3 linked regions of the Ovis aries genome follow. The protein of the gene in region 2 interacts with the protein of the main gene of each other region in a pairwise test. Links are inferred from orthologs where the notes say so. Each region holds a gene or a part of one and is shown on either strand. Other genes may lie near its edges. The genes, in order: RETREG1, GABARAPL2 and FUNDC1.

Region 1 (10,095 bases), on a different chromosome or scaffold from region 2:
TGTGTGCCTGTGGGTGGATAAAAGAGTACCTTTCCAGGATATTCACTCCTGCAGTGTGACCCCAGGTCCCTTCAACAAACCCTCCTGAAGACTTGCAAAAGCTCTTTTGTATATTATTAGGGAATGATACCTAACACTGAGTACCCCAACTTGGTGTGGTTGGCCACCATGCTAGAGTTCATTTCTGGTAAGCATCCCCCTTACAGAATCCTTGTCAAATTAGGTTAGTCTGGTTTGGATATTCCAGTTCTTATAAGCACAACAGTCAATCCCGAACAGAAAGCCAATTCCTTTTGCGACTTGGGCCTTGGAAACCAGGCACAATCTTCCTTTCCGTTCCCTCTGTTGTCACTGCCGTGGTGTGGTGTTCCTACTTCTCTCTGCTCAGTGTGATCTATCAGGCTCTCTTGTTGATCTTGTTCAGTCACTAAGTCACGTCTGACTCTTTTTGTGACCCCATGGATTGCAGCACACCAGGTTTCCCCGGAGGTATCTCCCGGAGTGTGCTCAAATTCACATTCATTCCATCGGTAATCCTATCTAACCATCTCATTTAACCATCTCATTCTCTGCCACCCTTTTCTCCTTTTGTCTTCGATCTTTCTCAGCCTCTGGGTCTTTTTCAATGAGTTGGCTCTTCACATTAAGTAGCCAATGTATTGGAACTTCACCAAATTAACAAAGCTTAACAAAATTATCAGCACACAAACATCTATCTGCCAGACCAATACAACACAACATGGGTACACAGCTCCTTCATGTAAGGACCTAGGAGTCTAACATGAAACATTTTAGGGGAAGAAAATATGGAGGCATTTCCCTCTCGTCCTAAGGCTTTAGCTTGAGGTTGCCTATGTGGCCTCCTAGAGTAGGAATTAATTATTCATTGCTTTTTTCTCCTATTACAAACTTTCTAGCTACTTTTGGAAGAGAAAGGTGAGTGACCTCTTTTAAGAGTTCTTGTGTGTATTTTGGCTTTCTTTGCCTGACTGGTTATTTTCTAAACTGTCACTTAGATTCAGTGGCTACAACTATTTTCTTTGTCTCGCACTCTTCTTTTTTTTCCCTCTGACATATCCCCAGTCTCCTTGCTTTCCTTGGATCTATATTTTCAAATTGTCTACCTCATTAGTGTGAATCACTCTGTTCCCCATACATGGTGATGCAAAATTCAGAAGAATCTTAAACCATAAGGTTACTCACAGGAGTTTTAAATGTGACATGTTGTAGAGATGAGGGGACAAGTTTTAAGCATCATTAATATTATTTTGATGCAGTCTTAGCACTGAATACATTATTCACACATCGCAAAGTTAATCAGACAAAAACACTCAGTAGCACCCAGTTATGTGTCTAGGCCAGCATCTGCTCCTGTGACATTATTTGCTAGTAATCATTAGAGGTCAGAGGTGAAAAAGACAGATGACAGCACTTACTCCAGCTGTGTGGCATTTTAAGAGAGAAGGAAAGATTTCACAGAGGTGTGAGGAGGGAGCTTTATCAATAAGCGGAGGTAAGCGTTGCAACCCACACGTAGCAACTGAAGTTGAGCTTCTATGTGTCTTGGCTGTCAACAGCTTTTACTACTTCAGCATATCCTGATGACAGTAATTAAATTCCAGGGAGAAGAGGAATGTGTAGGATCTTGCAGACATGTTTCTAGAAGCACATCACCCTGGTTTGGAAAATGGGGATATCAGGTTTCTCAATTCCTCCCTCCAGTTGCAGAGTCTAGGGCAACCCTTGGGCTGTCTCAGTCCTTTGCTAAGCAAAGGCCAGATGACACAATAAAGCATCCTTTATCTTTCAAAAGCTCCTGCACCAATGCTAAGAGAGTGCACAACACTCAGGGAAAAATTGTCGTTTAGTCGTTAAGTCGTATCTGACTCTTTTGTGACCTCATGCCCACTGGGATACTCTGTCCATGGTATTCTCCAGGCAAGAATACTGGAGTGGGTTGCCATTGCCTTCTCCAGGGGATCTTCCCCACCCAGGGATCAAACCTGCGTCTTTTGCATTGGCAGGTGGATTCTTTACCACTGAGCCACCAGGGAAGCCCCAGGGAAAGACTGTTTCTTCTTTCGTGGTAAAAACACCAGAACTGTTTCCATATTGCTTTTTCACGCCTCCCTGGTTACTGTATTGGGTTGTCATGAATCTACTCACAGACAAGCCAGAAACATGAGACTCTGCGTTGCCGGCAGGTCAAAAACCAAACTTCCTTCCACTAGTGGATCAGTTGAAGCGATCTGCTGCAGATACACACAAGGAACCATGACCTCCACCTGTAAGTCCCCAACTTCGCTTGTGTTGATCTCCTGACAGACATGATTGCCTCCTCTTCCCTACCCTATCCTGCCTTTACTGCCCAGTTCAATCGCTCAGTTGTGTCTGACTCTTTGTGACCCCATGGATTGTGGCAAGCCAGGTTTCCTTGTCCATCACCAACTCCAAGTGCTACTCAAATTCATATCCATCGTGTTGGTGATGCCGTCCAACCATCTCATCCTCTGTCGTCCCCTTCTCCTCCTGCCTTCAATCTTTTCCAGCATCAGGGTCTTTTCCAATAAGTCGGTTCTTCACATCAGGTGGCCAAAGCATTGGAGATTCAGCTTCAGCATCAGTCCTTCCAATGAATATTCCTTTGCTGCCCTCCTGCTTACAGTTCAGGACAGACAACCTCTATTCCAAAAAGCTCCCGGAAACCTGACTCCTCCACTTGTCCCTAATTTTGGACACATGACTGAAGTAAGGACTCTTAGCCCTGAGTGATCATTTCCATCACGGCAGTGATCACAATTGTCACTGGCCCTTCCTTGGACTGTGAGCTTCCTGTGGGTGGAAGCCATACCCACAGAGCTGAGCAAGGGGTTGGGTACACAGTAGGTGGTCAGTAAACCTCTAAGTAAATTAGGCTTACACCCTTTTGAGGTATAACATACACACAGGGAAGTGCATACACTTGTAATGTACGTCAGTGAATTTCTTCGTATGTGTACACTGAGGTATAAACATATATAATAACCCCCAGATGAACACTCTAGAACATTCTCCAGAGGCTCCCTGGAAACAGGCTTTAAATAGCTCTGAGAATGAGCCCCATCCATCCTGTGAAAGAAGCTGGTTGCCAGTAGTAAACTCCAAGAAGATATAAGATGCTTTGATTCATCAAAGTAGAATGCTCTGCAAAGGGAAGGAACATTTTATTCTAGAGGAAAGTGACAATGGGGATGAAGGAAGAGAACATTTAGAAAATGCAAATAGGGAAAAGTGAACCTATTTGAAAGTTTACCTTTCATCCCAGCCGCTGCCCCCTCCCCCCCCAATCATTCAGAAGCACCAGGGCCAGTGAGGCCAGGTCTGAGAGATCTCAGAACTCCTGGTCACCCCGTCACAGCACCTGACCCCTGTCCTGATGACTGCTGTGACCACAGTGACTCTGGCCTAACCTGTGTAACACACCCAAGCGATCCTGCATCTCAGCTCCCCGCTCACCTGTGCCCTCCATAGACCAGCGTGCATTTTGGAGCCAGGTGACTTTGTCCACAAGTCGGAGGGAGGAAGCCCCCTGCCACAACGCGGTGGCCTGGCGGTTCCTAATTTGTAAAACCAGAGGGCCACGTGCTTCCGAATGGACCCAAAATGTTTCGCCCCCCACCCCCCTCCTCCCGGGCCCTTTCCTTTCTCAATCCAGCCTTTAAATCATCACGTTGTTCTTAAGAGTCCTGAAGATTTCGGCTATGGAGGTGCAATCTGCCCCTGCAAGGGCACTCGGTGGGGATGCGGGACGGGGAACTAGGGGCTGAAACACGCGGCCAGGCTCAGGGGCGCCCCATTATGCGCTCTAAGGCTGCAGGATGGGCGATCGGAGGCCCCGGCCGGAGAAAGTGAGGACTGCCAACTGCTTCCGCCGGTGGCCCGGAGACTCCCTTTTAGATAAGCGGGCGGACGGAGGCTGGGAAGGGAAACGGGGATCACGTTCCGGCGGCCCCGCTTGAGCGCCCCCGCTCCCCCGGGGACGCCGCCCGGCCCCGCCCAGCCCCGCGCCAACCCGGCCGCGCCCACTTCCCCCGGGAGGCGCCCCGCCGCGGCCGACGCTGACGTCACAAGGCACCCAGCCGCCGGCGCCCCGCGGTGCGCGCCCCGCGCGGGGACCCGCCGCCCTCTCCGCGCGACACCGAGGCGCGCGCGCGCGCCCGAGCCCGTCCCCGCCCGCGCCGCCGAAGATGGCGAGCCCGGCGCCCCCGGAGCCCGCCGAGCAGGGAGCCCCGGCTCCCGCCGCCGCCCCGCAGGCGCCGCAGCCGCCGCCCCGGGCTCCCCCCGAGGAGCCGGAGGGGGCCGCGCCCCCGGAGGAAGGGGCGGCGGCGGGCGCGGGCCGGCAGGTGGAGGAGGCCGCGGGCGGGGTGGCCGCCGTGGTGACCTGGCTGCTGGGGGAGCCGGCGCTGTGGCTGGGCAGCCGCGCCGACGAGCTCCTGAGCTGGAAGAGGCCGCTGCACAGCCTGCTCGCCTTCGTCGGGGCCAACCTGGTGTTCTGGTGAGAGCTCGGGATGGGTGGGGCGGGGGGCCAGGGGCAGGGGGTGCGGGCAGGTGCCCTTGGGGCGCCCGGGAGCGGACGGAGGGCGCGCCCGGGGGCTCGATATGGGGGGGTGGGGGGCGGTGCACGGCGGACCCTGCGGAGGAAGGTGTCCGCCCTGGCCCACTCCCAACTTTCCTCCAGATGCACCTCCCCCTGTAAGCAGCTGGCATCCTCCGTGGGGGTAGCCCAGCCTCGCGAGCGAGACGATGGGCTGACCCCGCACGCACCTGGACCGGCAGGTGTGCCCCCGAGCGCACTGGACCTTTGGCTTTCTGAAACTCGCAGGTCGTGACCTGCTCGCCCAAAGCCCGCCGGACCACACGCACTTGAACCTGTGTCCGTTCTTGTCCCCAGAGAGGGCATATCTGGACCAGCTTGGGCACACGCTCAAGACTGAGCCATCGCCGTCAGCCAGCTGAGACGGGCACCGAGTGATTTGTTTTTCTATCCCACCCGGAGGCTTGGGTGTACTGTCTCTACTCCCCGAGAAGAAAACAGGAGGCAGACAGGTGGATTATGGACATCACCCCGCCCCCCAGGTGTGCATAGTGTAGAAAACAGTCTTATTTTTAGCTGAAGAATAAAGAGACTACCCAAGAATGTTCTCTGAAAAGCCCCTGATCAACAGGTTTGTCTCTTACAAAAGCGCCCTTCGCCCTAAAGACGGGGAAACGTCTGGCTCCTTCACTGAAGCCCCTGCCTGGTCATCTATTACCAGTCTAAGGAGGTGGAGAAAAAGCTTCTTTGTTTGCACCTGTGTTCTCATAACAAGCATGACCGACACTGTGCAGAATAAGCAGAGCTTCAGTGACCCATACCTTGCCACAGGACATTGAATTCTTAACCTTAATAAAGTTAGGAAATAAATAAACGAACAAAACATACACGACCTGCCACTTCCTCAGTCAGCTCGTTTAACCATAATGTTTTTCTGCAGATCTGTGCCAGACTGATCTTGTCTTGAAACAAACTGTTTCTTCATAGAGCCCCCGAGTGTGAATTAACCTTACTTTGGGTCTCTTAGCTATCATTGTTTCTAGAGCTTATTTCGTATTTCTCTAACCTGTTATGAAGTTATAGTGAACACTCAAAATCAGGAAGATATATGTATGATGCTAAATTGGGCAACAATAGTCATAGGGCTGTGTCTCTCTCATTTTACCAATGAGGAACATGTTTTTAAAATTCTTAATTTAAACTTTATTTATTAAAAAAATAGCTAATAGCCTCAGAGTTCACAAGTTTAAGGTACAAAAAGTTAAACAGTCTGTAAATGTCTTTCCCATGCCTCTCTCTGGCTACCTACTTTCCTACCAGAAGCAACCAATGTTACCAGTTTCCTGTGTATCTTTCCAGATAGTGCATATTTCAACAAATACAAAATATTCTCTGCAAATTGTGGACTACTATCTGGGCTGTATTTCTTCTTAGCGCACTTTGGCGATCACTTTCTTGTGATCAGCTGAATCCCACTGTACGGATGTCACAGATTAACCTGTCTCCTACTGACAGAATAAGATTCTTTCCAAACTTTTGCTATGACAGCATTATAGTTAAGGGTCTGAACATGCATTATTTTGCATGTAAGCAAGTATTGCCGTAGGAGGAAGTCCCAGAAATGAAATTGTTGGGTCAGAGGGGGTTCGTCCTTGTAGTTTTGATGGCTGTCATTGTATTATTATACTTCCTTGGAGTGTTACCAATTTATGCTGCTAGCAACAATGCATGTGACTGCCTATTTCTTTTTATACCCTTGCCAACAGCATTTTATCAAACATTTTGATTGGTAAATCTGATAGGTAAAAAAGGCTATCCAGTATGGTTTTATGGTTTTGCATTTCTCTGAGCTTGAGCATCGAGAAGGCAATGGCACCCCACTCCAGTACTCTTGCCTGGAATCCCATGGGCGGAGGAGCCTGGTAAGCTGCAGTCCATGGGATCACGAAGAGTCAGACACAACTGAGCGACTTCACTTTCACTTTTCACTTTCATGCATTGGAGAAGGAAATGGCAACCCACTCCGATGTTCTTGCCTGGAGAATCCCAGGGACGGGGGAGCCTGGTGGGCTGCTGTCTATGGGGTCACACAAAGTCGGACGCAATTGAAGTGACTTGGCAGCAGCAGAGCTTGAGTATTTTTTATTATGTTCAGGAACCATTATAATTATCTTTTCTATGCATTATCTGTTTACAGAAAACTTTTATCCATATTTTTAATTGAGTCATTAGGCTTTTCCTACTGAGTTGTTAGAACTCTCTTTATATTAATAACTTTAGCCTAATTTCTGTAACATGAGTTGCAAACATTTTTCCTGTGATATATTTTTAATGTCTACTGAAAATAATGATTTTTGCATTAAATAATTGAAAGGCATATTTAATTTTATTTGGAAATGATGTCTTCCATCCATATATTTTTTAATAAGTATGATAGCAAGGCAAACAATGGCCATAGGTTTTCTGTTTATCTGTTTTATTTCTCCTTTTTGGAGAATTTACAATCCTATATGTATATTTTCATGGACAGAAAAATGACTGTCCTGCTTTTTAAATTTGAAGCACTTGTTAATTGGAATTTCTGACCCATTTATTAATTTCATTAAAATGCTGTAGTTTTCCCCATTGTTGCTCCTAGGTTGAAATATTCTTTCAAGGACTTTGTCTTCTCTAGATAATGTACCTCTTATCAAGCTATCTTAAATTATGTGGCACTGACATTCTGTGTCCCAAGAACTCTAAAACTCTGTATTTTTATGCTCACTAATGTTTTATTTATAAAAGTGAAAATCAAATAAAACTTAGATGACAAAACATAAGAGTGGTTTCATAAACTGAAGTACTATGTCTAAAGAGTAGATCATGTAGTTGGCAAAGTATAATTAAGTATATGGCATAACATAAAGCTCTTTTTTTTTTTAATAAAAAATCAGTGTTAGAAGCATGAAGAACCCAAATTTGTATGAAGCAATCATGATGATTTCACTTTCACTGATGTTATTTTTGTGAAAATTAACTTTTTAAATACATATTTTTGACTGTTTAGTATCTGGTACCCAGAGAAGGCAATGGCATCCCACTCCAGTACTCTTGCCTGGAAAATCCCATGGATGGAGGAGCCTGGTGGGCTGCAGTCCATGGGGTCCCTAAGAGTCAGACACGACTGAGCGACTTCTCTTTCACTTTTCACTTTCATGCATTGGAGAAGGAAATGGCAACCCACTCCAGTGTTCTTGCCTGGAGAATCCCAGGGACGGGGGAGCCTGGTGGGCTGCCGTCTATGGGGTCGCACAGAGTCGGACACGACTGAAGCGACTTAGCAGCAGTACCTGTTACCAGCAGTAGCTCTCAGGATTTTGAGTTTGAGTTCAAAAGCTCTAACATTTATTATCTGCCCATTTTTTGCAAGATTTTAGTGCTGTGTCTTGGAAGGACAAAGCTGAGACGGGCATGACGGTCTGGGTATTACTCAAGGCTGAATGGCATGAGTGTGGTGAAGGGTCAAAGAAGGAATCATTCATTTTAATACAGCTTTTTGTTGGGCAGGTGGCATCCTGGATAGATGAGACTGTGGGGTCTTCTTAAGGAGACCCCATGCTTGAATCAGATTTTGACGGAGAGGAATGATTTGGGTAGATCCAGTGCATGGTGGACAACCCTCCAGGCCTAAGGAATCGTACTTAATGTTTCCACCATATATTCAACTGGTGCAGTGCCACATGAGGTAGTGGAGAAAAGTAGGGGAGATGAGACTGGCTAGGTGTTTTGGAGACCCACCTGGGGGCAGTGGTTGCCTCGAGGATCTGTTTTTTCCATAGGCAATGGAGACCCCAAGATGCCTTGTGTAAGTGCTCAGGAATATTTTAGTGGGCAGGTAAATTGTGATTTATTCATTTATTCTTACCATAAAATTCTTTCCATAGAGCAATAAACTAGAGCTATAGGCAACAATGTAGATAAATTTTACAAATGCAATTTGGGGAAGAAAAGCGCCTTTAATAACATGTACAGAATGATTCAGTTTTTTGAAAGTTTTAAGATGTCCAAACCTGAACAGTATTGATTAGGGATATATAGGTAAAAGACGTTCTTATCTGTAAAATCAAGAGTAGAGGGAGAAGGTTTAATCACAGAAGGCACATGAAAGGTTCTGGAGTGTAGGCAGTGTTCTGTTTTTTGACCTCGGTGGTGGTAGTTACCTGATGTTCAAGTTATAATTATTTTAAAACTGTGGTTGTGTGTGCACATTCTTATCTTTGATGTGTTTTTGACAAATACTAAACTCCTAAAGAATGCTTTAAACAATTGTTATTTACTCAGAGCTCAGAGGAGTTTAGTACAATGCAGACCATATAGTTCCTGTCTCAAGAAGCAGGGTTTCCACAACGTGAAATAGACTGGGCAACAGTCCAGTAGTCATAGGGCTGGGTCTCTCTCACTTTTCCAATGAGGGACATGTTTATAAATTCTTTTTCTTATCTTAAATTTTATGGATTTAAAAATGGCTAATACTGCCTCATAGTTCAGAAGTTTAAAAGTATGAAATTAGCTGTCTTTCCCACGCCTGTCCTTGACTGCCTGTTTCTTCCCAGAGGCAACCAGTGACACCAGTTTTAAGTACACCATCAAATAGAATGAACCCAGTGAAACAGAAAATGCCCCATTTGCTTTTGTTTTTAAATAACTTCTTGCAGTATACTGTCAATAAAAACACACACATTCTGAGGGAACAGCCAAGTGTAAACACCTGTGGAATGAAAATGGCAATCAAGATCTAGAACATTTCATCTCTCTTAAAGGTTACTTTGAGTTCCTTTCCCATCCACACCCATCCCAGGGACTGATCTGGTTTCTCTCACTGTAGATTAGATTTGTCTTCCCTAAAGTTTCTCGTAAATGATACCTTATAATATGATGTCTTTTGCGCCTGGCTTTGCTTACCCAGCATAAAGCTTTGAGATTCATCCCTATTGTGTTTATCAGTGGCTTGTTTCTCATTTTTGCTGACTAGTCTGCCTCTTCGGAGAAGGCAATGGCACCCCACTCCAGTACTCTTGCCTGGAAAATCCCATGGATGGAGGAGCCTGGTAGGCTGCAGTCCATGGGGTCGCTAAGAGTCGGATACGACTGAGCGACTTCACTGTTACTTTTCACTTTCATGCATCAGAGAAGGAAGTGGCAACCCACTCCAGTGTTCTTGCCTTGAGAATCCCAGGGATAGCGGAGCCTGGTGGGCTGCCATCTATGGGGTCTCACAGAGTCGGACACAACTGAAGCGACTTAGCAGCAGCAGCAGCATCAGTCTGCCTCTTCCGGGACTTTCTGGAGGGCTCAGTGGTAAAGAATCCACCTGCCAATGTAGGAGACACAGAAGTCTTGGGTTTGATCTCTGGGTTGGAAAGAGCCCCTGGAGGAGGAAAGGGCAGCCCATTACAGTATTCCTGCCTGAAAAATCCCATGGACAGAGGAGCCTGGCAGGCTCCAGTCCAGGGGATCGCACAGAGTCGGACAGCACTGGATGA
Region 2 (10,095 bases):
ATTAATAGTCAAATCTATTAATCCCCAATGTGGTTTATTGTACACTTAAGTCTAACCAATCACAGCACACCGTACGTTGGAGGCAAACAAAAAAAAGTGGCCGTGGTCCTAGACACTTGGTCCTGGGTTAAGACCAAACCAGGTCCCTTTGTTTCCAAATTTTCTATCGCTTTCACTATACTCCATAGCAGGGCAGACACGGAAACAGACCTATCTCCCTGCTGTTCGAGGGGAAAAAAAAAGATAATTATTGTATAGCTCTGCTATACTTTGCTATCTTGATTGGGAACAAGCTTTATGCTACTTATTTTAGGAGAAGCCGTGGTCCTCCTCAAAGATAAAGTTACACAGGGAAGCCTGGCGTGCTGCAGTCCATGGGGTCGCAAAGAGTCGGACACAACTGAGCGACTGAACTGAACACTTAATTGAATGCTTCCACCGTCCCATCCCATCTGCTTTCTAGTATTTCAAACATGGCAGAAGAAATTTTTTTTTTTTAAGTAGTCAATAGCCAAGTTCTCCATCAAAAGGCCCTAAAGGATCACATTGCAGTGCCGAGTTAGTGTGAAGTTTGTGCTCAGAATGAGATCCACTCATAAATACTCCTATTTTGAAGGCAACCTAGAAGTGGGGTTTTCTCCTAGATTTATTGAGGTATAATTGACATATAGCACTGTATAAGTTTAAGGTGTACAACATAATGATTTGAGTTACATGCATCATGAAATGATTACCACAATAAATTTGTTGAACATCTCTCATCTCATATAGATTACAAATTAAGGAAATAGAAAAAAATTTTCCCCTGTGATGACAACTCTTAGCATTTACTCTTTCATCTACAAAATAAAGTAGTGTTAATTATATTTATCATGTTGTACATTACCTCCCTAGTACTCATTTATCTTATAACTGGAAGTTTGTATCTTCTGACTGACTTCATCCAACTTTCCCCTCCCTCCACCTTGCCTCGGGTAATCACAAACCTGATCTCTTTTTAATGAGTTCGTTTTTGAAGTATAATTGACCACAACATTAGGTTAGTTCCTGTTATACAATATAGTGATTCAGTATTTCTATACATTTCAAAATGATTACCATGATAAGTTTAGTTATTATAACCTAGAATTGGGTTTTCGATGAAGAGAACAGCTGAGATCCTAGCAAAGAAGAGAGGTCAAGACGTGCCCATATGGGAAAACTATACAATGCCCTTATCACAGTCCGAGATGACAATGTCATCAGCCAGAGAAACCAATTAGAATGGTGAACTGGAAAAAGACATCAGGAAGGTAGGTAAAGGGAAGTCCCTGGTGGTTCAGGGGTTAGGACTCTGCGCTTCTAGTGAACTGGGCATGGGTTGGATCCCTGGGGGTGGGGTGGGGGACTAAAAACTAAGATTCCTGCTTGCCGTGCGATGTGGCAAAAAAAATAAAAAAAAAAAAGGTAGGTTATGATAGAAGACAGACATTGCACCTCGAGACCATCAGGTGACAAACATGCTTGTAAGTTGCTTCGAATCTCTCCACTAAGAAGCATACTAAGTTCTTCCAGGTGTAAGATGGTGTACACATACTTTGAACTAGGACACAATGACCAGCTCTGTAAAGGGAAGCAGGGGTCTTTGGCCCAATTTTTAACTTCTTCACTGATTCACTATCAGAGGGTTGACAACCATCTTCATTCCTTAGTGTTTAATTCTATTTGCAAAATAGGTTATTTTCATTTTTATACTCACTCTCTTCTGTCAGTTTAGTTCAGTCACTCAGTCATGTCCGACTCTTTGTGACCCCATGGAGTGCAGTACACCAGGCCTCCCTGTCTATCACCAACTCCCGGAGTTTACCCAAACTCTTGTCCGTTGAGTCAGTGATGCCATCCAACTATCTCATCTTCTGTCATACCCTTCTCCTGCCTTCTATCTTTCCCAGCATCAGGGTCTTTTCAAATGAGTCAGCTCTTCACATCAGGTGGCCAGACTATTGGAGTTTCAGCTTCAACACCAGTCCTTCCAATGAACACCCAGGACTGATCTGCTTTAGGATGGACGGGTTGGATCTCCTTGCAGACTGCAGGAGGACTGCAGCCCACCAGGCTCCTCAGTCCATGGGCTTCTCCAGGCAAGAATATTGGAGTGGTTTGCCATTTCCTTCTCCAGAGGATCTTCCCAACCCAGGGATCGAACCCGGTTCTCCTGCATTGGAGGCAGACGCTTTAACCTCTGAGCCACCAGGCTATATTCAAAACCAAACTCTTGATTTGCATACCCCACCCCTCTGGCTCCACCCTGTTCCAGTAAATGACCACTCAATTATTCCAAAACCCTGACTTAGACTTGTTCCTCACGAATCATATTCGATTGATCAGCAAATTTTGTTGGATCTACCTTCAAAATGTATCTAGAACACAGCTGCTTCCCATCACCTCCACAGATACTATCTTGGGTTAAACCAACATCATCTTATACCTGGATTATCACAATAGCCTCTTAACTGTTCCCTTACTTCCATCCTCAACCCCCTATAATCTACTGTCTACACAGAAGCTAGGAAAGTCATATCATGTCACACTTTTGCTTATAACCCTCCACTGCCTTCTCATTCCATTCTAAATAAAATCTAAAGTTCTTCAAATGGAATTCAAAGCTCAACCCACTTTTCTAGATCTCTTTGGTCTCACTTCCTAATGCACACCTTCTTATATATTCAGCTCCAGTCACATGGGACTCCTTCGTATTCCCAGAAATATGTCAACCACTTTATCTAATTAGCATTCACTCCCACCATCATGGTGACTCACTAGTTACCAAGTATGCTTTATTTTTCTAAACAGCACCTATCATTACCCAACATATTTTTTTTCATTTTGTCCCACTAGAATGCAAACTCCGTAAGAGTGGAAGTATTGTCTGTTCTGTTTGCTGCTTTTCACCAACACTTAGAACAGTGCTCTTTCATGCAACAACAAAAATTTCCAGGCATGAAATTCAAAGGATTTTTCATAAAAAACAGTCCGACAATCAGTCACCTCTAACTCCTCTGGCAATTAAGGTTAATGTTAAAATAACAAGAAATACTTCTAGAATGAAGCTATATTCCACAGCATCCATCAGGAATTTCAACTTAGGAAATGATAAATGACAATATTCAAACATACAAGCCTTTCAGATGCATCAGAATCGCAAGCACGTGGCAAGGATCACATGCCCAATTAAGTGAATATCTTCTTACATATTCACCAGCTCATAAACAGAGGGATGAACCAGAGCACACTGCCCTGGTGAGTCTTGGAGGAAGAAAGGAATAGTCACTGGAGAACCTGAAGGCAGGACACACACACACACACACACACACACCCCTTAGGTTGTGATGCTGAATGCCAAAGAAACCCACTTCATGACTGGGTATCAGGGGAATTCTCTGGGTCTGACAGTCAGTCACCTCTAACTCCTCTGGCAATTAAGGTTAAATGGTCTCTTTGTGATCAGTGTGGTGTTACACTCCCCAAATGCATAGTTAATATAACTTTTCTTAAACGTTTATTCATTTATTCGTGAATAAGGGAAGGAGCTGGGATTTGTTTCAAATCCCAATTCCTAGGTCCAACGCAACAATTATGATTGTCCTCAGTACTGAACTCCCGCGTTGTCATCAGTACCCCTCTCCACACAGTCCCCTCAAACCAGTCACATCCCTCAGACTGAGCCCTGAACCTGCAGTCACTCCAAAGAAACCTCCCCAAAGTGTCAAAGCCCTAACTAGACCCCTTGCCGTCACAGGCCACCAGAGCAACCTCTTCTGTCACTGAAACCTACAAAATTGCCCTCTTGTCACCAACGCCCCAGTCAGACTTGTCTATTGAACAGACTCCTGTAAGGACTCTATCCTGTCGGCCGGACCTGCTCACCTCTTCCCTTTACTAACGTCCACCGAGACCCCACGCCTGCTACCAGCTCTCGAATACCCGCTCCGCAGTCATCAGTATCCCTCACAGACCTCCCAGTCGCCCACTCTATTCCCCGCTCCGCCGAGAGCCCCTCTACGCCCCTCTCCTGCCCCGCCCCTTGACGTGAGGCCCCGCCCCTTGACGCGGTGTCCCGCGAGCCGCGCCGGAAGCCCCGCCCCTCCCGGTTGCTAGGCTCCGGCAGCCGGAAGTCCCGCCTGCCGTGTAGTCACCGCCGCTGCCGCCGTCGTTGTTGTTGTGGTTGGTTCGCTGAGCTCCGCGGCTCCGAGAGCCGGCTGCGTCCCTTCTTCGCCGCCGCCATGAAGTGGATGTTCAAGGAGGACCACTCGCTGGGTGAGCGCTCGGCCGCTGGCCCGGCCGTGGGGGCGGGGGCGGCGGGGGCCCCCTCCCCCACTCGGGCCGCCCCAGGCTGGGCCGGGCGGGGCGGGTGCTTCCCTTGGGGCTCGGGCGGCCGAGGTCCTGGCCCCCAGGGCGGTTGCCCACACGCCCCGGGCCGCCCGCTGCGGGCCCTGCTGGAGCCGGGGCCCCGAGGACCGGGCCCGCCCGGACGCTCAAGAAGACCGGGGGCGTGCGCAGGTCCCAGAGGGAGGAGGGCCGGGGTTCTGGGAGCCGGCCGGCGGGCAGGCGCGGCCGTCAGCCCCGTGTGTTTCTTCCTCAGAACACAGATGCGTGGAATCTGCGAAGATCCGAGCGAAATACCCCGACCGGGTTCCGGTGAGTGCATTCCCCGCCCCCTCGCCTCCCTGTCACCCCTGCCGTCTAGGGCCGGTGGTGGGGCCCAGGCTGCTCAACAGTTGACAAGTTTAGACTACAGTCACGGTTGTGGTGGCAGATGGGCCGCACTGGGTAAGGGGCCGTCGAGGGGCGCGACTTGACGGGCTGTAGTGGATGCTGTTCAGGTTGCTTCGGTGCTGAACCTCGCGATCTAGGCCAGCGAGCTGTCTGCAGCCTCTGGGCTCCCTAGCCAATTATGTAAGAAATGATGTTCTAGGACAGGGCGACAGGTCACAACCACTTTAGGGAATGGTGGTGGAGGGAGACGTTCACTTTGATCTTGAAAGTGGTACTTAAGTCTCAGGACATTCATCTTTAACTTTGCGCCTTCCTCTTTACCTGACTTCTGGTTCCCTTTTCTCACCCTGACCCTGTCATCCTTTGCTGACCAAAAAAAAAAAAGTCTGAGCCGCTGCTGATCAATAATGCTTATCCTGTATTTATCCCTTGATGGGGGAAATAATTTCTGTAACCCTTATTTATTTTTGAGGACATCCAGGCCTGTTATTGTAGTTTATTGCTTATGAACAGTTCCTTTGGGGAGAGGCAGGAGGGATAGATTTGAAACTTAGTTCAGAGAGAAGCAACAGGCCAAGTGAAGAGCTTGGTCCTTGGCTGCCTGGAGTTGCCAGTCATCCCCATTGATCTGTCCCTTCTCATTTCCTGTGTTCCTTGGGATCTTAATTCCCCTGTAGTGTGAAGGCAGATACATTCTGGGGCCCTGGAGTAAGAGGCTGTAGAGGAACCCTTCACCAGATATTCTTGAGTCTGCCCAAAGTATTGAAAAACTTTGTAGTGAGAGCTGTGTTTCTCTTATGCATGCTGAGATCAGGGGTGAGAACTGTATTAATAATTGACCACAGAAAAGCACTTGCTGTTGCCTGTAACACATGTATATCAATTCTTAATCTCCAGAGTGTGTGGCGTATTACGCCAGGGGCATGTTTGCTCATGTTATGCCGTTTCCCACCCACCTCCTTGCCCACACACTGTGGATCAGCACTCCAGCAGTGCGCAGCCAGGGCACCGCGTCCGCAGTCCAGTCATGACCGCACTTTGCTTTTGCAGGTGATTGTGGAAAAGGTCTCAGGCTCTCAGATTGTTGACATTGACAAACGGAAGTATCTGGTTCCATCCGACATCACTGTGGCTCAGTTCATGTGGATCATCAGGAAAAGGATCCAGCTTCCTTCTGAAAAGGCAATCTTCCTGTTTGTGGATAAGACAGTCCCACAGTCCAGGTGAGGGGTGTTTACTGGTATTGGACATCTGCTTGGTTGCTTACAGGACTCAAAACTTTGGAAGTCTGAAAACTTTTAGAGATCCTGATTAGAAATCTGAATTTTGTGCTCCCTGACATCAGGAGCTCAAGGAAAACAAGAAAGGGCTGCAATAGATGTGTGTGTACTTTGGGTTAAGAAAACAGAGCAAGGCCTGGACTTTTTTTAAAAAAAAGATGAAATCAGCCTCAGATACCCAAGAATCCTTTTTAATAGTTCGGGACTTACTTAGGCTTAAGCCATCAGTAGAACTGAAGCCTGAAATGAGGTTTTTTTCCAAATGATCCATGAAATAAGTCCTGTCGTTCTTCCCCAGGAGCCTGTGGGCCCTGCTGAAGCTCAGCTTCAGTTAAGCACCCTGCCTGCTCGCTCGCTCTCCAGGCTCAGTCCTGGCCACTGTGAGAGTCCGCTGCCTGAGCCTCAGGTACCCGGAGACGGCTCTTTACAGACTTACACCTCCCTTTGCTCTGTCAGTAGCTGCCCTCTTGTTCTTGCGGTTGTGCTGCCTGGAAGCAGTCTTTGGGATATTTGGGGCCTGAATTGAGGCAGGGGCATTACAGTTCTCTTCAAGGTAGGCGACAGCCTAGCTTTAGTCTCCTGTGGAGAGAGGAGAATTTTCTGGCTCAATCTGTACCCCTGGTCAGTTCTTTTCTGTTACTGATTTGAGTAACAGAGCCAGATGCTGGCTCCCTTCCTCCTGAGTTTCATTTTGTTATCCCCCCAAAAGTAGTACTTCTGATGCTAAGGCTTTAAGAAGCCCTGGGAACTAGCCCAGTGTAGCCAAAATATGCTTCTTTTGAAAATCCTTGAAAACTCCAAGAAAGGCCTAAGCCAAATTCTAGTCCCATTTCCTACGAATGGAATAACTTTGGCTATTTTTAAGGTTTTCTCTTTCCCATTCTCTGACACTTCTGCTTCCTGATGTTTGGCAGAGGATTGCGTGGAAAATCCCATGGACGGAGGAGCCTGGTGGGCTGCAGTCTGTGAGGTCGCTGAGGGTCGAACACGACTGAGGGATTTCACTTTCACGCATTGGAGAAGGAAATGGCAACCCACTCCAGTGTTCTTGCCTGGAGAATCCCAGGGACGGGGGAGCCTGGTGGGCTGCCATCTATGGGGTCGTATAGAGTCGGACATGACTGAAGCGACTTAGCAGCAGCAGTAGCAGCAGGGGCGAATGGAAGGTCTGCCTTCCATTAGGCCAAGGCTCTGCCTGAGGAGAAAGGCCAGGCTCTGCCTAAAGGGCGCCATGGCCTGCTTACAGCTCGAGCTTAGGAAGCTGTGGTGTTGCCAGGGGTCATCTTGTCACCCCGCTGGGCTCTCGGCCTTCCTTCCAGGCCTCTGGGCACTGTGGTGCTGGGTGCATTCTTCTCCAGGGGAGGCTAGGGAAGCCCTGGGCATCTGCGGTCATGTTCCGTTTCCTTGCAGGTGGTGGGGAGGTGGAGGTAAATCAGTCTTCATGCCACCTGCAGCTTGTGCAGCCCCTTGGCGGCCCTGTGTGTTCTCCTTCCCAGAGTTGGCTTCTGGGTGGGAAAAAGTTTGTGAGTAGGACCTGTAGCCTTGAGTTTTGTTTTCCTTGATCCTGATCTTCTGATACTTTTTGAAGAAATGAAGCAGGCTTCTGGAGACATTAAGATTATGTTAATGTAGCAATTACAATGGCTGCAGATTTTAACTAATGCCTCTCCTCCAGTAGAATTGGAAATGAAAAGTGATTCTCAGGGTAGCAGAGGCTGCTTTCTCTCTTAAGTTTTATTTGCTTTTCCAACCTGGTAAGAATCCTCCTTAAAACAGGTTACAGTGGTGACCCAAGGCACACTAACCAGCCCCTCCACCCAGATCCTTCAGCGCCTTTGGCTCCAGTTAATGACTTCCTGGCCCACATTTAAGGCAGCAGTTCTTTGTTTGGGGGTTTTAGTCTTCAAAACAAGTTTGCTTATAAACAAAAGAGGCATGTGACATCCTTGGGCTGATCACCTGATTCCTGCACAGACAAGATTGGCAGTCTCCTCCTAAAGCTACAGTTTTGACTCAGCTTCATCACTTCCTCCCCAAGGCAGTAGGAGCTTCTTCCTTAGCACTTTCCAGCCTCCTTAGGGAAGCGTGGAGCCTCCTTTAACCATTAGCCAGTGTTTGCAGCCTTTGGAGAGTGGCTGGGGAAATCACAGTTGAGAAAGGATGAGCCCTCCCCCATCCCATAACAAGCATATCTACACAAGGATTGCGTATGTCTGAGGCTGAGCAAAAGCAACTTCATTATTCTTGCCTTAGGGTGGGCTTGAGTGTTCCGGGACACAGGCGACCATCCTGTAAAATAGTGTGATTATTGTTTGAGTAGTCAGTGTTAATACTGACTCTAGAAATACAGACAGAAGCAAGTCCATAAGAATTGTACATTGTACATTTTAAATCCTTTCTGAGTTTTTTTTTTTTTTTTTTTTAAGAAAGGGGAGATCTCAACTGCCTTTTCCCATTTAGCATTGGAAAGTTGAATTCTCTGCCTAGGTGCCTGCATCTAGAATCAGGCTGGAAACAAAAGGAAAACCGTGTCTTGGTGCAGACAGGACTTGAGAAAGAATATCATTATTGTATAAGCTTTCCAGTCAAAGCTTTAGTGGGGAACCCAGACCTGGCAGTGGGGCCTACCTTGTGGTCTTTGTTTAGAGCACAGATAAGAGTCTTATTAATCCCTTGTTTAAAATAGAAACTGGGGTATATTATTAAATTAAATAATATCCAATACTTTGGCCACCTCATGTGAAGAGTTGACTCATTGGAAAAGACCCTGATGCTGGGAGGGATTGGGGGCAGGAGGAGAAGGGGACAAGAGAGGGTGAGATGGCTGGATGGCATCACGGACTCGATGCACATGAGTTTGGTTAAACTCCGAGAGTTGGTGATGGACAGGGAGGCCTGGTGTGCTGCAGTTCATGGGGTCGCAAAGAGTCGGGCATGACTGAGCGACTGAACCGAACTGAACTGAAGATGTTGTAATTTGGGAATGTTACGTTGGGAGATCTGTGCTGTTTAGTATTACAGTATTTAATTGTTCCTGGCTCTTTTTTTGTTAGTTCTTTTGTTCCTGGCTCTTAGAAAGGTACTGCGTAAAAGAAGTTATGATGTCTTACAGTTCATTTAAACTTTATTTAGAAATATGCTTCAATTCAACACTTTTGAGCACTTCTGGGTAAATACCTCTTCAAAGCAGGGTTTATTTTAGTAGTGGAATAGAGTATTTATATCAGAGAAAAACCTGATAAAAAGAATAAGCAGTGGTTAATTTTTTGTATTTTAGGGAGCCTCTAGGGCCATATTAATTTTAACTTTGAGGCCAGTGTCTTTCCAGGGTCCACAGCAGTAGCCACTGTCCTCTCCCCTCGCCCCCCACCCCGCTTCCCCCGCTGGAAAAGAGACAGATCCAGGTCTAGTGGAAGCACGTGGGCTTCAAAGCAGATGGATGGCCAGGTGGCCCATCGGTCCAGCCAATTCATGAGTCAGGCTGGATCCCACAGCCTCCATAAGCTGACCTTGGCCGGGGCTGAGGAAAGCTGGTGCAGGGACGGGGTGTCCACGATTCTAGGTCAGCCGCCCCCGATTCATAAGCTGTCAAGTAGCTTAAAACTAGTTTGTCCTCAGCAGCATGGCTCTTCTTAGATGTGGGTCCTTCTGAAAAGTGCCTTTATTACCGGTTAGTTTGTCTAGACCTGTTTGATCTTGAATGGAGGGGTGGGGGACAAGGCTTTAGGGAGCAGTTTAGGGTCATGCCACTCAGGGTCCCACCACACCTTAGCTTGCCTCAAATCTGCTGTTGGCTTTTCCTGTTTCTTCCCTGTCAGACTGAGAGCTTGAAGGTGGCGTCCTTCTTAGATGCCTGTAACACACGATGCCGCAGCAGTGTGCGTTAGTGCTGGGCTGGGGGTCGTCCTTGGGTGTCTTCTGTAGCCGTAACTCGGGCAGGAATCCTTGGTGTTGCAGTGCTGCCTGTGGGTTGCCAGCCTGACCGACGCATTCGAGCAGCCTGCCTGCCTGCGCCGACCTGGCGCTCCAGTGGCGGCCTGCCTGTGCTGAGTGCCCTGGG
Region 3 (10,095 bases), on a different chromosome or scaffold from region 2:
CATAATGGGAAGCCAACAGTTAATACCTCAAACTGAAAGATAAAGAAATAGCCAATTAATTTGGTTAGGAAAAAGGAAATAAATACCTTAGGAATCAGCTAATAGTTCAAACTGGTTGCCTCAAGAGAGGAAAAATGGGGAGGTAGAGGGAGGCAGAGGATTATTCTAATCTGTATTGAGCATTACACATGTACTTGACCCTCTGAATTATAGGCATGTACAACTTTAAAAAAAAAACCCTGAATTTAAAAGATTAATATACCAACTGTCTATTTTTTAAGATTGCAGTGTGATAAATATATACTGGAAAACACCTGAGCTTTAAATATAAGTAAAGGTAATAAAAATATGGCAGCAAGACTAAATAAAAGGTAATTAGCCTAAAAGCCGTTTGTTTCTTTGTCTTTGTTTCCTTCTATTGAGCTTTCAAGTCAGTCATATTTGTGGGAAAAACTGGTTTGATGCGGAGAGGTTCCGTCTTCTACTCAGGGACTTCAAACATTACGTGGACTAAACATGAAGTAGAAGGTGACAATCATAAAACATGGGTTTGAAGGGACTGAAATGGACTTCTGATCAATGACATGCAGAGTAGACTGAAATATATAATTCCATCTGTGAATATCCCAGGGAACTCTGCTTTGGTAGAGTATCTTTTTCCATCTTTTGAAACTTGAGTTTTCAAAACAGCTATAAAATTAACTATCTTGATTCTAGATAACTATACAAATAACTTAATTCTTGGTTCTATATAAACCAAAGTCAAAAATCTGCTTAAATAAAATTCTTTGTACAAATACTGGCATATTCCTCCAAAGGACTAAATTTAGAATATGAATAATTATTTATTTTTACCTTTTACAAGAGATAAGCAATTACTCTTAATAATACCATCAATAGAAAAATATGTATATATAAAATTTTAAAACTGTTTAGTAAACAACTGAAAATCTGTGCTTAATACATATGAATTCAGTCCTTCTGTACATCAAGCAATGACACTGGTTATTACATGATCAATGGCTAGGTGCTGAAGTCAGATTTTGGTTGCTATGACCATCAATCATTTTCAAAACCTGACAGATTTCTGTATCTTCAAAATTGTTGCTAACACACATTCCCAGAGATTTTTCAAGTTTAGGATTTATTATATTTGATCTTCAGGGAATGATATTTTGGGGAAAATATATGCCAAACAGACATGAATGCCAGATAATATCCTGATAAACCACCTCTAAGAGCAAAGCATTTTTGAACCTTATACTTAGAGGAACATAAACAGGACTAAAATTTCAAATCAACTTGCCTCAGAAATAGGATTATGAATTATTTTTTAAGACCAATTTTTCACTTTTTATATTATTATGGTTTCCTAGTTTTAAAAAACATGTTAGAAATTGCTAACAGCAATTTCCTCTGGGAAGGAAAAATGACTAGGAAACAGGGAAGGAAAGAGACTTTTTGATTTTCATATATTGCGTACGAATGTGTGTGAACTTTAAATATATGTTTTAAATTATCAGTATGAACAGGTTATACTATTGATGAAATGTTTATTTGTTAAGCAGAGGCAAGGACTGAAAGCTCTGACATACCTGAAGGAGAAGAAAGCCACCACCTACTGCAGTTGCTGCAAGTTTTCCAACTTTCTGGAACAAAAATCCCGCACACCTTTAGTGGAAGAAATGGCAAAGGATGAAGACAATCAATGATGTATTAAACTCTCTCTCTTCTAGTTTTCATTACTTTCCTAATAAAATCTTAACGTCTTCCCAGTTCTTTTGACCATGTTCCTCACCTGCTCAGAAACCCTCAATGTTTCCTTTCAGTTATACAGACTAGTCAAAACTGCACAGTCTAAACTGTCTGAGATGTGCTTCAAAATAAGGGATGAAGAGAAGGGAACTGACAGGGGAAAGACTGGCTACTGAAACTGAATGTGAGTACTCAAGGGTTCATTATACTCTTCCTTCTACAGTTGTATTAAGTTGTATTAAGTTGTATTGAAATTCCTCATAACAAAATGCTTAGTTTTATGGGGCTTTTTTTTTAAAAATATAGTCAAGATGTTCCACATATCTGGCCAACTCTCACTCTAGCCAAACCTTCTACTCCAATCCAATCAGTTTCCAAACAGGTCACCACTCTTGCTCAAGGTATTAATCCCCGTTTCTCGGGGTTTCTACCTCGCTCCACCTATCTAAAACTTTTCTACCCGTTAAGGTCCAGTAAGAGGTCCATCTTCACGACTATACTTTGGCCCACATTTCTCATGGCTCCCTTTTCTATTTCTATCTCTATATTAAACCTGTTTTGTCTCATCTATCCTGTAAGGATGTTAACCCATACTTTTTTGATTCTCTCCTTCAGTGAGTTCATTATTCCCTTCAGCAGTCCAGATCCAATGTGCAAAGGAATCTCAGATTTCCAACTCCGGCCTTCTGTACTGGGTTGAATTGTGTCACCCCTGAAATCTATGACCTTCCTACAACCTCAGAATGTGACCTTATTCGGAGTAAATTCATTGCAAAAGCAGTTAATTCAGATGAGGTTATACTAGAGTAGGGTGGGCCCCAAATTCAATATGTCAGAGAGACACACAGAAGGAAGACAGCCATGTAATGGCAGAGGCAAAATTGAGAAGATTTCCTAGAGGAGGAAATGGCAACCCACTCCAGTATTCTTGCCTGGAAACCCCCATGGACAAGAGGAGACTGGTAGGCTACAGTCCATGGGGTCATGAAGAGTTGGACATGACTTAGCAACTGAGCACCCATGTCTGCAAGTCAAGGAGTGTCAGGGATTGTTGGCAACCACCAGAAGATGGGAGAGAAACGTAACAAATTCTCCCTGAGCCTCCAAGAAGGAACCAACCCTGCTGACACTTTTCAAACTTCTAGTCTCCAGACCTGTGAGAGAATAAGTTTCTCTCATTTTAAGTTACCTAGCTATGGTGCTTTGTTATAACAGCCTGAGGAAACTAACACCCCTTCATAAATGGAAAATGTACGTTTCCAATTACATGACGAGCTTCTCTTGCCACCCAGAACCACATATTCAAAATGTCCCAAAGCAAACACCATCTTTCCAACCAAACCACCTGTTTGCTAAAGTCCCAATTTCTAAGTGATAGCACTATTCTTGAGGCTTCTCACCTCATGTTCATCTCAGACTGCCTTCTTCATCGCCTCTGGGGTCCAAATGATGGCCAATTCTATACACCCAAGTTTCTCTAAAACATTTGATTGTCTTCTTTCCATCCTCAAAGGCATCGCTACCTTGCTTTCAGATCACACTAATGACCCTCTGGCTGATCTTCACACCTCCCATCTCACCTAGCAGCCACCCATTCTGCTGTCAGTTTTAGTTTTTTTTTAGGATCAAGAACATATAACTACCTACAGCTAAACATAATTTCCTCAGCTTCCCAATCAAGTCCTGAATTGGTCTGAATTGTTAACTAGCTAACATCTTATTAACCATTCCTCCTTAACATATGCCACAATAGGACATCAGTTTTATACTCTAAAAAAATTGCAAACGTTTATTACGCTGAATCTAAAGTCATTGCAACAAATCACCTGTATAATATTAGAGTCCTATTACACAGCTCCTGGATCAACACCTGGCTATAATCCAAACATATGTGTCCCTCAGTAGGGGAGACAGCAACAAAGACTCAGAAAAGGGAGCAAAGGAGCCAAGCAGCAACCAGGTCTTAACAGTATCCTGGGGACTGTGCTCCACAAGCATGTCTATCCTTTGCTTGAATGGTATGAGAAACTACAATCAATATACTAATGTCCTCTGTTCTGTCTCTAGGCTTTCCAAGCAAACTTCTTCCAATTATGGGGCTTCTCACCAAGTTTGGCCTACAAGGAGAAAACACACAATGATTTAATCCTACTGCTCAATTATTTTTTAGTCTCTTTCAAGATGGGGCTCTAGGCCTGGACTCACATTAACCAATCACCCAAGGCACCAGACTGTGAGCTTATTTAAGTAGAAGGCCAGGCCCTGAATTGTGGGCATCAAAGTATAACCAGCTTGAGAAGAATCATCTGAATAACCAGGGCTCTGACCAGGCAACTGCAGGCTTTTTTCATAAGCAGCACTAATAAGTACACATCATGAATAAATACTGTACCTGTTCATCACAGAATCTTCACAGTGAATGTCTCTACCATAAAATGGCATTTATTTTAAAAAGGCGTTAAAAAAAAAAAAGGCATAAAAGAGCACACCATTGTTCCAAGGTGCAAATAAAACACAAATTAAAACAAACACTTTATACTTATCGAGTTTAAATATGTAAATATTTAAATTAATGTAGGATGAATTTAACCTAGAATCTAAGAAGAAAAAATGATTACTCACAGGTTAAGCACACCCACTAGCTTCAGAAATTCCCTAGGGTCATGAACATTTTCAAAATAAAGGGTCAAACTTCTTTCTGACCCTTGTTATTTGGCTAATCTTTTGAGTCTAAGAATAACAGAATTAGATCTACAGTAGCAATTATATAATCACGTGACCTGAAATGTTAACTGGTGAGGTTAATACTATTAACCTCTCCCCCTTAATGTACTCCACAGTATTATCACTGAGTAATTCCAACAAAGACCCAATGTTCTACAACTCTCCTTCTTCAAAGTATTATCATAATTTAAATTGGCCCACAAAATTAACAGAACCATCTGTATCATAATCAGTAATTTTTACTGAGAATTTTACACTGCTTTGCACAGGGCTGATAACCCTGGAGATTAGTTTTACTGTGGGAGTTCTCACAGGGTTTTCAACCGAACAAGTACAAATTATTTACATATAATTAACTCTTCTCTTCTATATTTTTTCCTCTTTACCCACTGGTACTGAATCAGATCCACTACATCTGCTAAATCTGAGAAGGGGGGAAATATGCAAAAAAAAAAAAAAGGAAGGATGAGGAGGAGGATGATCACCAAAACCCAGCAGAATCTGAGTGTAGATTACACTAATCATATCACCGAGAAAAGTCTCAAGGTACAGCTCTTCTGGGATTAACACTGTAAAACCACTGACTGAGTATGTAGTTGGCCCAGATACAAAAGGGCAGCAGTCAGGCTCCCAGTGAAATTTAACAAAAAAAAAAAAAAAAAAAAAAAGGATGTTCTCACCAGCCACTCACTCCACCCATTACAATCTGGGTGGCTACCGAGTATTTTTCTACCATAGGTCCGGAACTGTGGCCAAACACGCGATTCCACCAGTGATGTCTTCTGGCATACTCAGTTAAATCCAACACTTCGTAGGAATCATCATCACTTTCATATTCTTGAAAGCAGAAAACGAAAGCAACACATTTTCAGTCAACTGAAAGTTAAAAATGTCGTGTACATTTTCATCTGTTAAAATTCATTGTTACATTGGCATACACCTAAAAACGCCCGGATGTAGACAGTTTCTTAAACCCAATCTCTGAGACTTAGGGCCTTGAGAGTAAAGGGCCTAGCATCCCCTTCCCAAAGAGCTAGACACAGGTCTGGGGGGGCGGGGCAACGTCAGTTACACAACTGAGCAGTTACACCCCTACCCCAAATCTCTGCAGGGGTGGCTCAGTTTCACAGCAGGGTCTCCCCCAATCTCGGTAGGTAGGTCAGTTTCACAGCATGAAGGGTCACCCCCAAATCTCAAGTTCAGGGTCAGTGCAGGGTCCATTTTCATCAGTGGGAGGAAAAGGGGGGTCTTCCACTGGCCGAACCGGTTAGAGGCCCAGCAAGAAGAAATGACTTCAACAGTAAGACTTAAACGTTAGAAGACGGATAGGAAGGGAGGTGAAGGTAAGACAGGTGGGGCCGTGTTGAGGGCGAGGGTCCAAGAGGGGGAGGGGAGGTCTAGTCTAAAAGAGGTGCTCAAAGAGGTTGCCTCAAGAAAACAGAGCCCCCAGGATCCCTGGGACAGAAGGAAGAGGCGAGCCTGAAGCAACGTCGAGAGCTGTGAGCTGCCTCTAACATACTACTTCGGGCCCCGGCCGCTCACCTTGGGGAGGGGGGTTCCGGGTCGCCATGATACCGCCGGCGGCCTGTACTGAGGCGGTCCCAACCCGCCCGCCTCTCGCCCCTACTTTAAAAACCGCTCTAGGCCCAGGTGGAAGTCTATGGTCTCTTTTTTATCTCCTCCTCCTTTTCCTCCAGGCGCACAGTCCTGTCCCCGCCCCCTCCTCTAAGCGCAGGGCCTTCCGCGCAAGCGCAGGGCAGAGGGGCGCGAGGAGGGGGGAGGGGGGAGACAGGTTGGATACCAGCCCGCAAGGATTTGTGGGAGTTGTAGTCAGTTGCCCTCCGCAACACTGGTTTCCCACCCCTCCCCCCCGAGAATTTCCAGAAGCTAACTTTTGATATTTTGTTTCAAAGGGCCTCACTGGAGGGGAGGGGGCGTCACATGGTGGTTAAACGAAAACCAGCTTGCTGTTTGTAACACGGTACCAGAAAGAGGCTTTTAAAAAGAGATAAGAGAAACCCTCTTTCGAACCACACTTTTCAAGCAGTCAAAGGCTCACTAACCGATGGAAAATTTTTCTAACGCGCTGCTGCTAGGAATTGGAACCTTTTCATCTTCTCCACGCGTTTCCTGCCAGGAACCTGAGGGAGGAAGAGGGAAGCCCAGAAAATGACCTGACACGAGTTACTCAAGAGGACATAATTTTTAAACATCATTTTTGTTATTTAAATCTGACAGAGGAACGAGGATAAGTTCTTCACCCAAGAAGCCTCACGGGATTCTGTTGAATGAGAAACCGTGTTGAAAACCAAGCGGCTGACTCAGGTTCACATAAACTGGCCCCGAAACTTGTTTTGAATTTACGTTGCACCCGCATTCGCTGTACATTTAGAACAACCCTATCAGTATTCTTATTCTGAGAATATGGAAATGAAGAAAAATAAGAAATCCTGGTAGAGGCTGCATTACTTAAAATATTAACTTACATAATTGTACTTGGCTTTTCAAGTCCTGGTGCTTTAAATGCAAGGGTTGATGTCTCTCAAGTTCCTCAGCTTGTGCACCTCAAAATACAATTCTAAGACTGGCTGGAAATATTAATCTTCACTTTGTGTGAGATTACTGTCGTGGGCCATGTGCGGATTGGAAAAGAATATCCAGCCAAGAGGCTGAATGAGAGATGAATAAAGTTTACTAGAGAGGGACACACGATTACAACACATGTCGGTTCAAGGGAGAGCCCAACCCGTTCGCAGGCTACCAGCCAATTTTTATGGTCTCAAGATAGAAAATTTCTACTAGAAGGATGGTATTAGGTTATTGGTTAGCATGCCATAGGGAGAAGGCAATGGCAAACCACTCCAGTACTCTTGCCTGGCAAATTCCATGGACAGAGGAGTCTGGTAGGCTGCAGTCCATGGGGTCGCTAGGAATCAGACATGACTGACAGACTTCACTTTCACTTTTCACTTTCATGCATTGGAGAAGGAAATGGCAACCCACTCCAGTATTCTTGCCTGGAGGATCCCAGGGACGGGGGAGCCTGGTGGGCTGCTGTCTACGGGGTCACACAGAGTTGGACACGACTGAAGCGACTCAGCAGCAGCAGCAGGATGCCATATGGGCTTCCCTTGTAGCTCACCTGGTAAAAAATCTGCCTGCAGTGTGGGAGGCTTGGGTTCAATCCCTGGGTTGGGAAGATGCTCTGGAGAAGGGAAAGGCTCCCCACTCCAGTATTCTGGCCTGGAGAATTCCATGGACTGTATAGTTCATGGGGTCGCAAAGAGTCCCACACAACTGAGCAACTTTCACTTTCACTTTAGGATGCTATAGGGTGGGTAATCCAGTAGGTATTTCACCTACTTCGGGTCAGAGAACTGGCTGGTTTAGATCTGGAGGCTCATGGCAACAGTTGCTATGGGCTTTGGTCAGTTCCAGAGATTTTTATTCTGTGGACTGTGAAGAAGGCTGAGCGCCGAAGAATTGATGCTTTTGAACTGTGGTGTTGGAGAAGACTCTTGAGAGTCCCTTGGACTGCAAGGAGATCCAACCAGTCCATTCTGAAGGGGATCAGCCCTGGGATTTCTCTGGAAGGAATGATGCTAAAGCTGAAACTCCAGTACTTTGGCCACCTCGTGCGAAGAGTTGACTCATTGGAAAAGACTCTGATGCTGGGAGGGATTGGGGGCAGGAGGAAAAGGGGACGACCGATGATGAGATGGCTGGATGGCATCACTGACTCGATGGACGTGAGTCTGAGTGAACTCCGGGAGTTGGTGATGGACAGGGAGGCCTGGTGTGCTGCGATTCATGGTGTCTCAAAGAGTCGGACACAACTGAGCGACTGAACTGAACTGAACTGAACTGAACTGAACCTTGGTGGAGGGCTCCATACCTGTGACCTTGGTATGAAAGTGAAAGTTGCTCAGTCATATCCGACTCTTTGCGACCATGAACTATACAGTTCATGGAATTCTCCAGGCCAGAGTACTGGAGTGGGGAGCCTTTCCCTTCTCCAGGGCATCTTCCCAACCCAGGGATCGAACCCACATCTCCCGAATTGCAGGCAGATTCTTTACCAGCTGAGCCACAAGGGAAGGTATAGGGCTCCACAATTACATGTTTTGGAAACAAAATAACTTTCAGGGACATAACTTCTGAGGTCGTCACTGAAATTTTTTCCAAGAGTTAACACTTTTGAGTTCATAAACGACTTCCTCCCCATTGCCTCCCCACTCCCAGTGAGGTGCTAACAGATAAGAGAAATAGCAAATGATGGGCCACTGAAAGAAGAGAGAAAAATTACAAATCAGAAGAGCAAAATTACAAATTGGAAGAGGATTGACTGGGCCAATGACATCTAAACACTTTGATCTACTTCTAGCACTATCTGCCAACTACAGAAAGAAGTCACTTTCCTGTCAAGGCAATGATATTTAGCATCAAATGATTATGGAGAAAAGAGGGAGAAAACGGAAACAAAACACTGCTCTTAAGATGCCAAAAAATGAACTTTTGAATCTAAAATGCATCCTAAACATGTCCAAAAATGAATTAAAGGCAATTATTTCTGTAGCGCACTTAAGGGTTGAGAAGGAACTTTTTAAACACTCTTCCTTTTGTTTTCTTACAGTGATATGCCCTTGCCATTACCTCAACCAAGTTAGTTGTATAATTTATTTTACTAGTGTGAGTCTTTTCTTTCCCAGTACCAAAAAAGCTGTTATTTTGTTGGCTCAGTGATGAATGGTTTAATGTTTAACAGACTCTAAAAGGTGCTACGATCCTCCTGATTTTTTAAATTAATTCCTATTTTGAATAGGTTTTCTTTTCAGTCAGCACTAATAAGCATTTTCACTGTGAATACTGGTGTCTTACCTACCCACTGTGAAGTGAAAGTGAAAGTCGATCAGTCGTGTCCATGGAATTCTCCAGGCCAGAATACTGGAGTGGGTAGCCTTTCCCTTCTCCAGGGGAAATTCCCAATCCAGGGATCGAACCCAGGTCTCCCACATTGCAGCAGGATTCTTCACCAGCTGAGCCACAAGGGAATCCCAAGAATACTGGAGTGGGTAGCCTGTCCCTTCTCCAGGGTATCTTCCCAACCCAGGAATTGAACCAGGGTCTCCTGCATTGCAGGCAGATTCTTTACCAACTGAGCTATCAGGGAAGCCCCTACCCACTGTACTAAAACATAATTCATGTAGCCTCCAGTTTTTCAATGGGTTCCAAAAGTTTATGAGTAACTTATTCAAAATAGAGAACAGTTTCTATTTAATCCATAATGAAACTGTCATAAAACTATTCCTTCCTGATCTCTACCTTTCCTTACTGTCTTTGGAAACCTTAAATGTTAAAACATAATTTAGTCAGAATTAAGAAAAGCAAAAAGCAGACATAAAAACAAACAGAAGAACAATTCACAGTCGCTGGGCAATCTAACCTCCCCCATTGGCTACAACTAATCCCAACCCAGTGGAGCCCACTCATCTCACATTTGCATACTTAAAATACTCCAAGACTTAGACTCTAAGTGACCTTTCAAAGCACTGAGGTAATCAATTGCTGATGAGAAAAGTTTAGCAAAGCTGATGCTGCATGCACTAGCTTGTAAGA

The links.
Region 1: the proteins of GABARAPL2 (region 2) and RETREG1 interact in binary tests that used the Homo sapiens proteins (3 or more experiments, as listed by UniProt). The link is inferred for Ovis aries from reciprocal best matches to the Homo sapiens genes GABARAPL2 and RETREG1.
Region 3: the proteins of GABARAPL2 (region 2) and FUNDC1 interact in binary tests that used the Homo sapiens proteins (3 or more experiments, as listed by UniProt). The two-hybrid records come from large-scale screens. The link is inferred for Ovis aries from reciprocal best matches to the Homo sapiens genes GABARAPL2 and FUNDC1.

Annotation. Positions count from the first base shown.
Region 1 is NC_056069.1:56,687,460-56,697,554, forward strand, and holds the start of RETREG1 (reticulophagy regulator 1), read left to right. Parts: upstream 1-4,204; 5' UTR 4,205-4,226; coding exon 4,227-4,534; intron 4,535-10,095. UniProt on the Homo sapiens protein: Endoplasmic reticulum (ER)-anchored autophagy regulator which mediates ER delivery into lysosomes through sequestration into autophagosomes.
Region 2 is NC_056067.1:2,349,258-2,359,352, forward strand, and holds the start of GABARAPL2 (gamma-aminobutyric acid receptor-associated protein-like 2), read left to right. Parts: upstream 1-4,165; 5' UTR 4,166-4,262; coding exon 4,263-4,296; intron 4,297-4,621; coding exon 4,622-4,677; intron 4,678-5,805; coding exon 5,806-5,978; intron 5,979-10,095. UniProt on the Homo sapiens protein: Ubiquitin-like modifier involved in intra-Golgi traffic. Modulates intra-Golgi transport through coupling between NSF activity and SNAREs activation. It first stimulates the ATPase activity of NSF which in turn stimulates the association with GOSR1.
Region 3 is NC_056080.1:43,690,423-43,700,517, forward strand, and holds the start of FUNDC1 (FUN14 domain-containing protein 1), read right to left. Parts: upstream 6,072-10,095; 5' UTR 6,050-6,071; coding exon 6,022-6,049; intron 5,317-6,021; coding exon 5,160-5,316; intron 1,672-5,159; coding exon 1,596-1,671; intron 1-1,595. UniProt on the Homo sapiens protein: Integral mitochondrial outer-membrane protein that mediates the formation of mitochondria-associated endoplasmic reticulum membranes (MAMs).